Linked DNA regions of Arabidopsis thaliana. The protein of the gene in region 1 interacts with the protein of each later gene in a biochemical or structural test. Each region holds a gene or a part of one and is shown on either strand. Other genes may lie near its edges.

Region 1 (4,123 bases):
TTTGCCAGAACAACAAAAATAATAATAATTACGAAGTAAACAATTTTATTAATTCTAAAGTCCAAATTAAATTGATTGTGGTTGATCTATTAACCCCGCTTATATATATTTTTTTTGTTTTTTCGCTTATATATTTCTTAAACTCGACTCATATATTTTTTGAGAAAAAAATACTCCACCGAATAATAATACAGGAGCATAAAATTACTAAATAAAAACTGGTTTAAGCCAAGGATTAGACCGATATAGTAGCAAGTTATACATCACTTTCAAATTCCAATAATAGCTATAAAATATCTCAAATCTCAACAACAGCAATAAAATATCTTCACAACGAACGTTTCTCTCTCTCGCTACCTCTCGCTATCAATTGTCGTCTCACGGTATTGACATATTCGGAGAAATAATACGACAAGGAATGGTGCGCGAAAGAAAGTGGTTTAGGACCTTAAGGTACAGAAAACGACAAACAAGATATTAGTATAAAAAAAGAAAGTAAAACTTGAAAATGACATGACATTGGTTACAAGAGGAGCCACGTAGAGGGCCAATGAAGGGGAAGCTACGGACAGTGCTCTCTTGTGGGACCCATATTTCTGTTTATGGTGTACGGTCTATTATTGGAGGTTTTGCTGAATCGGTTGTTTCGGTTTTATACTCTAATTTAAACAACATTTTTTTGTTACTGCTCTAAAAATACTTGCATTTAAGAATAGCCCACACTTATACTGAAACTGAATCAATTTAATTTACACTCGTTTCTCAGTTTTACAAACATAATGAAGATTCCATTCTAAAAAAGGATCTAAAAATAATAATAAAATAAAAAGTATCGTACTAAAAATGGAAATAATAATCTGAGTTTTAATAACTCCATAACGATACGTCGTCATCATCGCCGTCGACTTCATGATTATGATTCCACTGTACGGACGGAAGCGGCAAAAGCATCCCTTCTGCCATATTAGCCAACAAACTCGGCATCTCAAACATCGCCTCATCGTGCATATAAAACGCATTTTCGCTCTGTTCCGCCGTGTAAATAGCCTCCACCAACGTCTCCTCCATGTCGAAGCCATGATCCGTCGTCGCATCACACATCTCATCCTGAAACGCCAACGCAGCTTCAGCCGCCGCCTTTTGGATGTCCTTAGCGCAAGTTGATTCCGGGATTCGGAGTCTCCAAGCCGAGTCAGCGAAATTGAGACAGGCTGATCGGCCACGAAGGGCTAAAGCGGCAACGTCGTGAGCTCGAGCTGCCATCTCAGCGGTTTGAAATGTTCCGAGCCAAATCCTTGTTTTCTTGTTTGGTTCTCTAACCTCACAAACCCACTTACCGGAGTTTCTCCGACGAACTCCTCTGTATATTGGGTGACGAGTCTCACGAAACTTCTTACGACCCGCCGGTTTCTTGGGGCAGCTGCTCGCAAGCGTCGGAATATAATCACCGCCTGAGGAAACCGAAGACTCGTAATCGGAGCCAAACATTTCAGAAAAAGCAGAAAATGAGTTCATTGATCAGAAGAGTACTCTGTTTCAAGAAACTGGATAAGGTAACTAAAAGATCTCTGTCTTTTTTGTTGGTATGGTTTGCTGAAATAATAGTTTCTCTCTCTTTCTGTTCTAGTTCAGGTGGATTTAATGTTTGTAGATAAATAAAAGTTGGAGTGAGAGCATGCTGTTTTATAATGGCGGAAGATATTTTAGAGGCAAAAGAAAAGGCGAAGACGGAGTTTGTGTCTCTGGTAATGCCACGTAAACTATACACAGCGAAGCAATTGTAAAATGAGTAGTTTAAGGATTCACTCATTAAGATCTGCCATGTGTCCAGAGAAGACTTTTTTTGACTTATTCACTCGTTATTATTATACCTTTATGAGTTTTATAAACTCTTTGCGTATGAATGTGTGGCTGTTAAGGATTTAGTGTACTAGGTGTAGGGTAACCGTTATTCATTATTATATTCCTGAATAAAGAAATTGTCGTTAATTGTTCACCCGTGTATTAGACATAAAGATTGTGAGAGGATATTTAAAGATGCTCTTCTTGTGTAATTTCTCCCATTCTTATAGCACATCCTTCTAGAATATGAATTGGGAGAGTAGATATTTGTGCAACAAAGTATAAAAAAGTATAGAACATAATAATAGTCGTCCGTATATAAGCACGTAAGTCACCAAGTAGTTTTGGCGGAAAAACTTTTGAATTTAATTTGGGTGAATGATCAAATGTAACATTTTAGTGCTTTTTACGGTTGAATTAATAAACAGTTTGAAAAGTTATGAAATATGGTATTTTGGAAAATTTAACTAGAAGGGTAACAACATATTGTAACTTTAGGAAAACCCTAAATAGACTGCTAATTAAAATTCTCAATCATCATTATACATATAAAATAAATAATCAAATATTATTGGTTTAGAGTTATAAAAAATTGTTAATCACAAAAATGATGATTGAGAATTTAACAAAAAGTTGTTTTTTTAATATGTATAAAAAATTTAGAATTTAGATCAATTAGAAGCATGCAGTTGTAATTGTAGATCGGATCGCGAAACGAGTCTGAAACCTAATTTTGATCACATAAAAGTAGTTAATTATATTTAATATTTTCTACCATCATGCATTAACAAATGGTGGGGTGTGTTAGATTTATGAGACAAAATAGTAAAAGGTTTGAGTATATGACAAAAAGAAAATGTAATAAAAGAACATATTACATTAAGTTGATCACAATCTCAACGCCCTCTCTCTCACTCGAAACTCTTTTCTCTCTTTTCTCTCCAGCCAGCGCACTTCCTTCTCACTCAAAGAAGTTTCTCTTCTTCATGTATTCTCTCATTTCCTTCAACCACCACGTCCTTAGTCATATGATTCTCTATTCTTTAGCTACCTCTTCCCCACCTTCCCTTGACGAAAATTCTTGCATAATTCATAATTAGAAGAATTTCCTCCCAAGGTACTCGTGCTAACCCTTTTGATCACATACTTTCTTTTGATCACATACGTATTTATTTGACCCATTTGAATGTTCTACATCCATCATGATTTTTTTTGTTTTACGGTATGCAATCTAAAATCATGTGTTCTCCATCCATTCGCTACTGATTTAATCATTATCTGAGTTTTTCAACAAAAAGAACACAATTTATAAACATAGACAACCATGATTAGTTTCGGAAGTCAAAATAAAAAGCATGTTAATCAATTGTCTTTTATCTCGTATCCCCAATTTTACTTCTCAAAGTACTAAAATAGTCTAAAAACAATCATACGTACGTAATAAGAAAATAATTTACTTCCTGCTGTGTTTAAACAAAACTTCTATGAGATGTAAAAAAAGAAAAAGAGTCTACGATGGATGATCAAGCGTAATTGCTTTGTTACGTCTAAAAGGTGTTTAACAAAACTATAGCGCAGAAAATAATCAGTTTAATTAACTAAACAAAAACATGTTAGTGGATTAAGCCAAGAATTAGTCCGATAGAACTATAAAATCTACAAAATATCTCAAATCTCAATAATACGTATATAATATCTCAATAATACCTATATAATATCTCAACTCCAATCAGAAAGCTAAATAAAATATCAGCATAAGTTATATTCGCTTCCAAAAAAAGTCTGCCTCGTTACCTACCTCTCACACTCAAGTCTCTCACGTTATTTGAGATATTTAGGAGAAGCAAGACGACAACGAGAAGAAAAAAGAGTGGGTATGGTCAAGAAAAAGACAAATTATGATTTTAGTGGAAAATAGAAAGTAAAGAGTGAAGTGACGCGACACGTGGTACGAGACTCCACAGCGAGCCACGTAAGGGGGGACAAAGAAGAGAAGGTATGGACAATGGTTTCCGCGGTCGAGCCACGCTTTCAGAATTCTGATTGGCACTGGGTTATCTTGTGGAACCCATCTGAAAGATATTTTTGGTTGTCGTACGGATTTGTTTATTTCGGGTTTGTTGAATTAGTTTGTTTCGGTTTTATACACTATTTTAGGAAACTTTTTTTTATATTCTTTATAGTGAACTGGGCTGAATTTTTTTGGTTGCTAGATTCGAGACGAGCCAATTTATGTAATATTTTGTGGCTTTCTGTTGCTAAATTGTAAGATCTGTAACTT
Region 2 (5,133 bases), on another chromosome or scaffold:
CAAACCTATGCAACAAAAAGAAAAACAAAAAATCTTGAAACACTATAAGAAGAAGACAATAAAATAAGGAAATTTGTTCACTAACATTGACAAAACCCAGAAATTTCCACAGAGAAGTCCAAATTTTTGAAAAAAAAGATGAAGAAAAAACCAATTTTACTGCTCGTTTCTAACAAATTCAAAAGCATTAGTAACACAATGCTATATCGAAATGTTCCAAATTTCAAACATACATCACAATAAAACCCATTACAGACGTTAGTCATGAATAATTAACCTTTTATTTTGTCCTCGGAAAACATGGAAAGATAGAGTTGGGTAAGACGAAATACCTAAAGATAGTATTTGATTTTACACCGGAGACGAAACGAATCAACGAAAAACTAGGGTTTTGCAGGTGAAATTAGGGAGAATTTGAGCGACGAAGTGGGAGAGAATGAGAGTGAACACTTTCATTTTTAGTAACTAAAAAATCAAACCGAATAAGTCGGTTTTGGTTCGATTCGGTCATCGGTTAAATTGGTTCGGTTATGTATTTATTCTCCATGCAAATGATTAATCCCGTTTGGTTTGGTTATCGAATTTAGAGGAATTTTACTTTGATACATACATAAATTTCAGTACAAATGTTTACTTTGTGTAACTGTCGGTTCAGTGAACCACATCAAACCGACTCGGTTACCTCATCCGTCCGAAATGACCAAGGTTCGGTTCGGTTTGGGTTATAGTCGCTTGCCTAGAAGGCTAGAATGCTGTGTTGGCACAGGTCATAGTTTTGGCACTCAGAGAAACCAAACAACACTTCAATTCTTCAAAATTGGTAACTCCAAGATCAAGAAAGTACATTTTGAGGTTTAATAGCGACAACGACAAACAACAACGAGAAACACACACAAAATTCTTGGTCTAAATAAAGCAAAAGAGATTCTGATGATCCTGTGTATGTAAAAAACATAACATATATGGAGAGAGCTTACAATATAAACGATGAAAGCTCTTCTCTATTAAGTCTAATTCAACTAAAACACCTAAGTGGGATGTCATTTATCTACAGAAACTAAGTATGATGGCATTGATTGATTCACCAAGGTCCCGACTCTGTCCTCCTCAGCTTTTTCTTTGGACCTCCTTGCAGAAGATTCCTCATCTCCGTCTCCTGTTTTATACATAGCACGGAAACAAACAACCAAGTTTACAAGTTCAGCTATGAAATGTGCAGTTTAGAGATTCCAGTGTTGTTGCATTGGCATAAGAATTATTACCTGATTCTTTTGCATTTCCATGATCCTTGCCTGTAAAACATGAGGCGTACAATGAGAAATGAATGTAACGTATGAGCAACTGTGATGCTGAGACATGGTTTTGTGATTACCTGCTTTCGTTGTAACTCGTCATTCTCTTCCTTTAACTTTGCAACTTCAGCTTCAAGCTCCACGGTGTAAGCCTATGAACCAAAACAAGCACGACTGAGAAGCTTATGAGATAAAGACTAGAGTGCCATTCAAAACATTTAGACCCTCAAATGTAGAACTCAACAGTTTGGTCATAGTACATGTCAGATGTAACAGGTTTTTGGGAGCACCAATTACCCATTACCTTGCCCCAAAAGAAAAACCATGTCGCCACTACTCAGGTTTTGACGATGAACCCTCACTACTCATTTAAACTCTGAGCCACCTCATGACATTAGCAAATTACATTCCAGTATATTGTTTGGTCTGCCGTGAATATCTGCGGATGGGCAACATGTATATACACCAAAACCAGAAGGTTCATATTTGTTTGCGAGATTCATTCAGCCACAAGTACTGATTTCAAGTCCCAATAATTCTGTTTAGTTGTTTACTACACTACTTCACACAAGACACTTTACGCTTTGAATTCAACGCTTCATTGTGGTTAAAGAACTTAACTACAAGATAAGCTAACCAATTTACTTTACATATCTTTTGGCTTATAACACAATCAAGAGTACATAGATAGATGGTGATGAAGAGATTAACCTGTTTCCTGGCCCGGGACCTTGCAGCTGATTCTCGGTTCTTTATCATTCTCCTTTGCCTTCTCTCTACAACTTTCTCCACAGTGCCACTCTTTCTACCTCTCACACCACCATTAAACATGTAAGGAGACGGAGAGAGTGATGAAGAATCACCATTACTCTTCCCTATCCCTTCTGATGACAATGGCGTAACAGGCGACACAGCACCAACGCCTAAAGCTCCAGGAATTGCAGCAGAAGCACCTTGGACAAAGCCCACATTGTTCGTTAAAGACTGATCTCCAAGTCCCACAAGACCACCACCTCTTATCCCAGGACTATTAAGCTGACCCATTTGTGTTCCATAACCAAAACCAGGCTGCTTAGGCATGATTGGCTGTTGCTGTTGCGATTGCTGGTATGTTGTTCTAGCTCCATTCACATTCAGAGGCAAACTAGAACCTTGAACCTGCAAAGAATTTGCAGTCTCTGCACCAAGATTTCCCATTACACCAGCGGCAACAACTCGTGGAGAAGGCTGCTGAAACTCGACAGAGAAACCTGTGTTGGCATCATTACCAAAGTAACCGCCTTTATTGTTCTCAGCAATCTGAGCTCTTGCAGCAACCTGAGCTTCCTCTCTCACAACACCAGCACGAACCAAAAACTCCTCCAAAGTTACTTCACCTAATGTTTGCTGCCTCTGACTCTGACTCTGACTCTGAGCCTGAGCCACCTGAGACAAGTTACTTCCCCCTACTCCACTACTTCCAACTTTGGATAGATCTTTCCAAACTTGATCAACCGTCTTCTGACTAAGCGTTCGAGGCAGAGTCAACGAGCCTTGCCTCTGCAGCTGCAAACCCTCTTGACCTCCACCAAGAACTGGAACCACACCACTAGCCATGGCTTGTGTTTCTTCAGCACTCCATATATTCTTTAACAACTCATCCATGTTCATTGACCCAAAATCTTTCCCTACACTGCTCTGAAACTCATCAAACGTCAACGAGTATATCGAACCTTGTCTAGTCAACCCTCCACCTCCACCACCATCTCCTGGTGGCTCATTCCCCAAATTCATACTACCATCCATTTTTCTACAAAATCTGCTTCCACCTAATAACTGGATCTGAACCATGAATACAAAAAAAAATCCAAACTTTAGTTTAAAAATCCAAACTTTAGTATCAGAACCCTAATCTATAAATAAAAATCAAGAAATCTGCAAAACCCAATTCAAAAACACTAACAGATTTCAAAACTTTAATAGTCAAATGGATAAAAACAGATTAAACCAACAGGAGAATATGAATGCGTTTATGACAAGTATTAGGCACAATTAGTAATTTTATCCAAAAATTAAGTGTGGACATAAATCGAAAGAATTAAAAGAAGATGAACAAAAACCACAGTTTCTTCTATACACACAAAGAGAAGAAAAATCTATTACCTTTTTGCTAAATTCGTGTGCTTTGTAATTTTCCCAAAAAATTTCAAAATGTTTGGTTCTTCGTTTGGGTGATTAGGTAGTTTGTCTGGTGAGCCAAGTGTCTCTCTGGCTCCTAACAATCTTGAATAAATACTACTTTTGCTAATTATTTTAATAAAATGGTATATACTCTGTATCTTTGTATTTTGCGTCACTTTCCCTCTTCGTTTTTATTTTACTAATTTCACTTACTAATTGTTTTCCTTTTCAGGATTTATGTTGTTTTAATTTACTTTAGGTTCCTAAAATAAGTTGTTTTCACTTTGGAATTCCGTCCAAAAATCATTGTATCTACACAATAAATTAAAATGTTAAAACGTCTTTAAAATTGTAAAATTAAGATTGGATTATGTTTATGAAAATAAAGTATTATATACTAGAAAAGAAATGAAAATATTGTATTTTACATATATATATATATATATTAATATTATATCTGGCGAATTTGGATATGTTGACTTGGAAATTATGATATCTAGATCCAAATGTTGCTTGGACAAATCCAAATTGTTACTACCCAGATTTCCAAGTAATATCTAAATATTTAAATATTTTGAGAGAAACCAAATGATTTTTGGGTATGTAAACTTTAAAATTGTATTTAAATCAATTTGGACGGATTCAAATTTTTACTATTGATCTCAACACTTTGAATATCGGAAATTTTGGAAAGAATAGTGACAAATTCTTTATATCGGATTCGAGATAATAATTTCACTCTAACAATTGTGCTAATTAACCAATTAATATTTATTTGTTTAGGTACACATGGTTGCGGTGGTTGGAGAACAAAATGGGTTTGTAGATTAGACAACTTCTTATTTATCATTCACAAAATTATAATTTGTAGTGGTATATACAAAACAAAAAGAAAAAAAAACTCTATATACAAAATAATTCATATAGTTCTTACATAAAAAATTGGTATTATATATGGGTATAGTCCTAAAACTTCTCAGAAAGTTTACATATCAAAATGGATTAAAGTTTACCAATCAAAATGTTCGTTAAAAAAGAAAATATTGGTATAATTCCAAATTTTAATCCGATTTATCCACAATATCCATTCAAAACCTTAATTCTTTTTAAAAAAATCAGCTAATATTTTATTTCACCGGTGAATTGAAAACGCTTCTCCATCCTGAAGTGACAAAGGTCCAATAATCAATCACCTGAGTTTGTTATTTATGATCGGTCCACTTACTTCTTTAGTCCTCTGATTACAAAAGTTTTAAAAAAGAAAAAAGTAGTTGTAACGAAATAACGTGTCGCTCCATTACTGTCACAACCAACAAAAACAAAAACACGAACCAACCTCGATGAGACAGACACATAATGAAACCAAATCTCAGCCGTTGATTGTCGATGTAACGTGGACGAACACTATTATTTGCTTTCACATCGACTTTGTGTTTTGTGGGGGAAGATGTCAGAAACCAAAGAGTCTTCTTACTTTTTTTCCATTGGTCCACGTCTCTAGTTTTTAGTTGGGCTCACCTTCACATTATCAAACCCATCTTATTATTTTTTACGTTTAAAAATTAAATACAAGGACAATAATACTCTCAATTCACTAATTATAGTAGTGTTTTTTTTTTTTCTGCTAAAGTACATCATTGACTCTAGCATATAGTTTAATAAGTTTTGAATTTGCTTGGAA

Evidence for each region.
Region 2: the proteins of DREB1A (region 1) and ABF2 form a complex in vitro, tested with the Arabidopsis thaliana proteins (one study listed by BioGRID).

The regions. Positions count from the first base shown.
Region 1 is NC_003075.7:13,017,489-13,021,611, forward strand, and holds DREB1A (dehydration response element B1A), read right to left. Parts: upstream 1,913-4,123; 5' UTR 1,516-1,912; coding exon 865-1,515; 3' UTR 522-864; downstream 1-521. UniProt on the Arabidopsis thaliana protein: Transcriptional activator that binds specifically to the DNA sequence 5'-[AG]CCGAC-3'. Binding to the C-repeat/DRE element mediates cold-inducible transcription. CBF/DREB1 factors play a key role in freezing tolerance and cold acclimation.
Region 2 is NC_003070.9:17,164,339-17,169,471, forward strand, and holds ABF2 (abscisic acid responsive elements-binding factor 2), read right to left. Parts: upstream 3,552-5,133; 5' UTR 3,435-3,551; intron 3,404-3,434; exon of another isoform or gene 3,144-3,403; 5' UTR 3,123-3,143; coding exon 2,004-3,122; coding exon of another isoform or gene 1,851-2,003; exon of another isoform or gene 1,732-1,850; coding exon of another isoform or gene 1,687-1,731; exon of another isoform or gene 1,445-1,686; coding exon 1,373-1,444; intron 1,293-1,372; coding exon 1,263-1,292; intron 1,157-1,262; coding exon 1,082-1,156; 3' UTR 820-1,081; downstream 1-819. UniProt on the Arabidopsis thaliana protein: Involved in ABA and stress responses and acts as a positive component of glucose signal transduction. Functions as a transcriptional activator in the ABA-inducible expression of rd29B.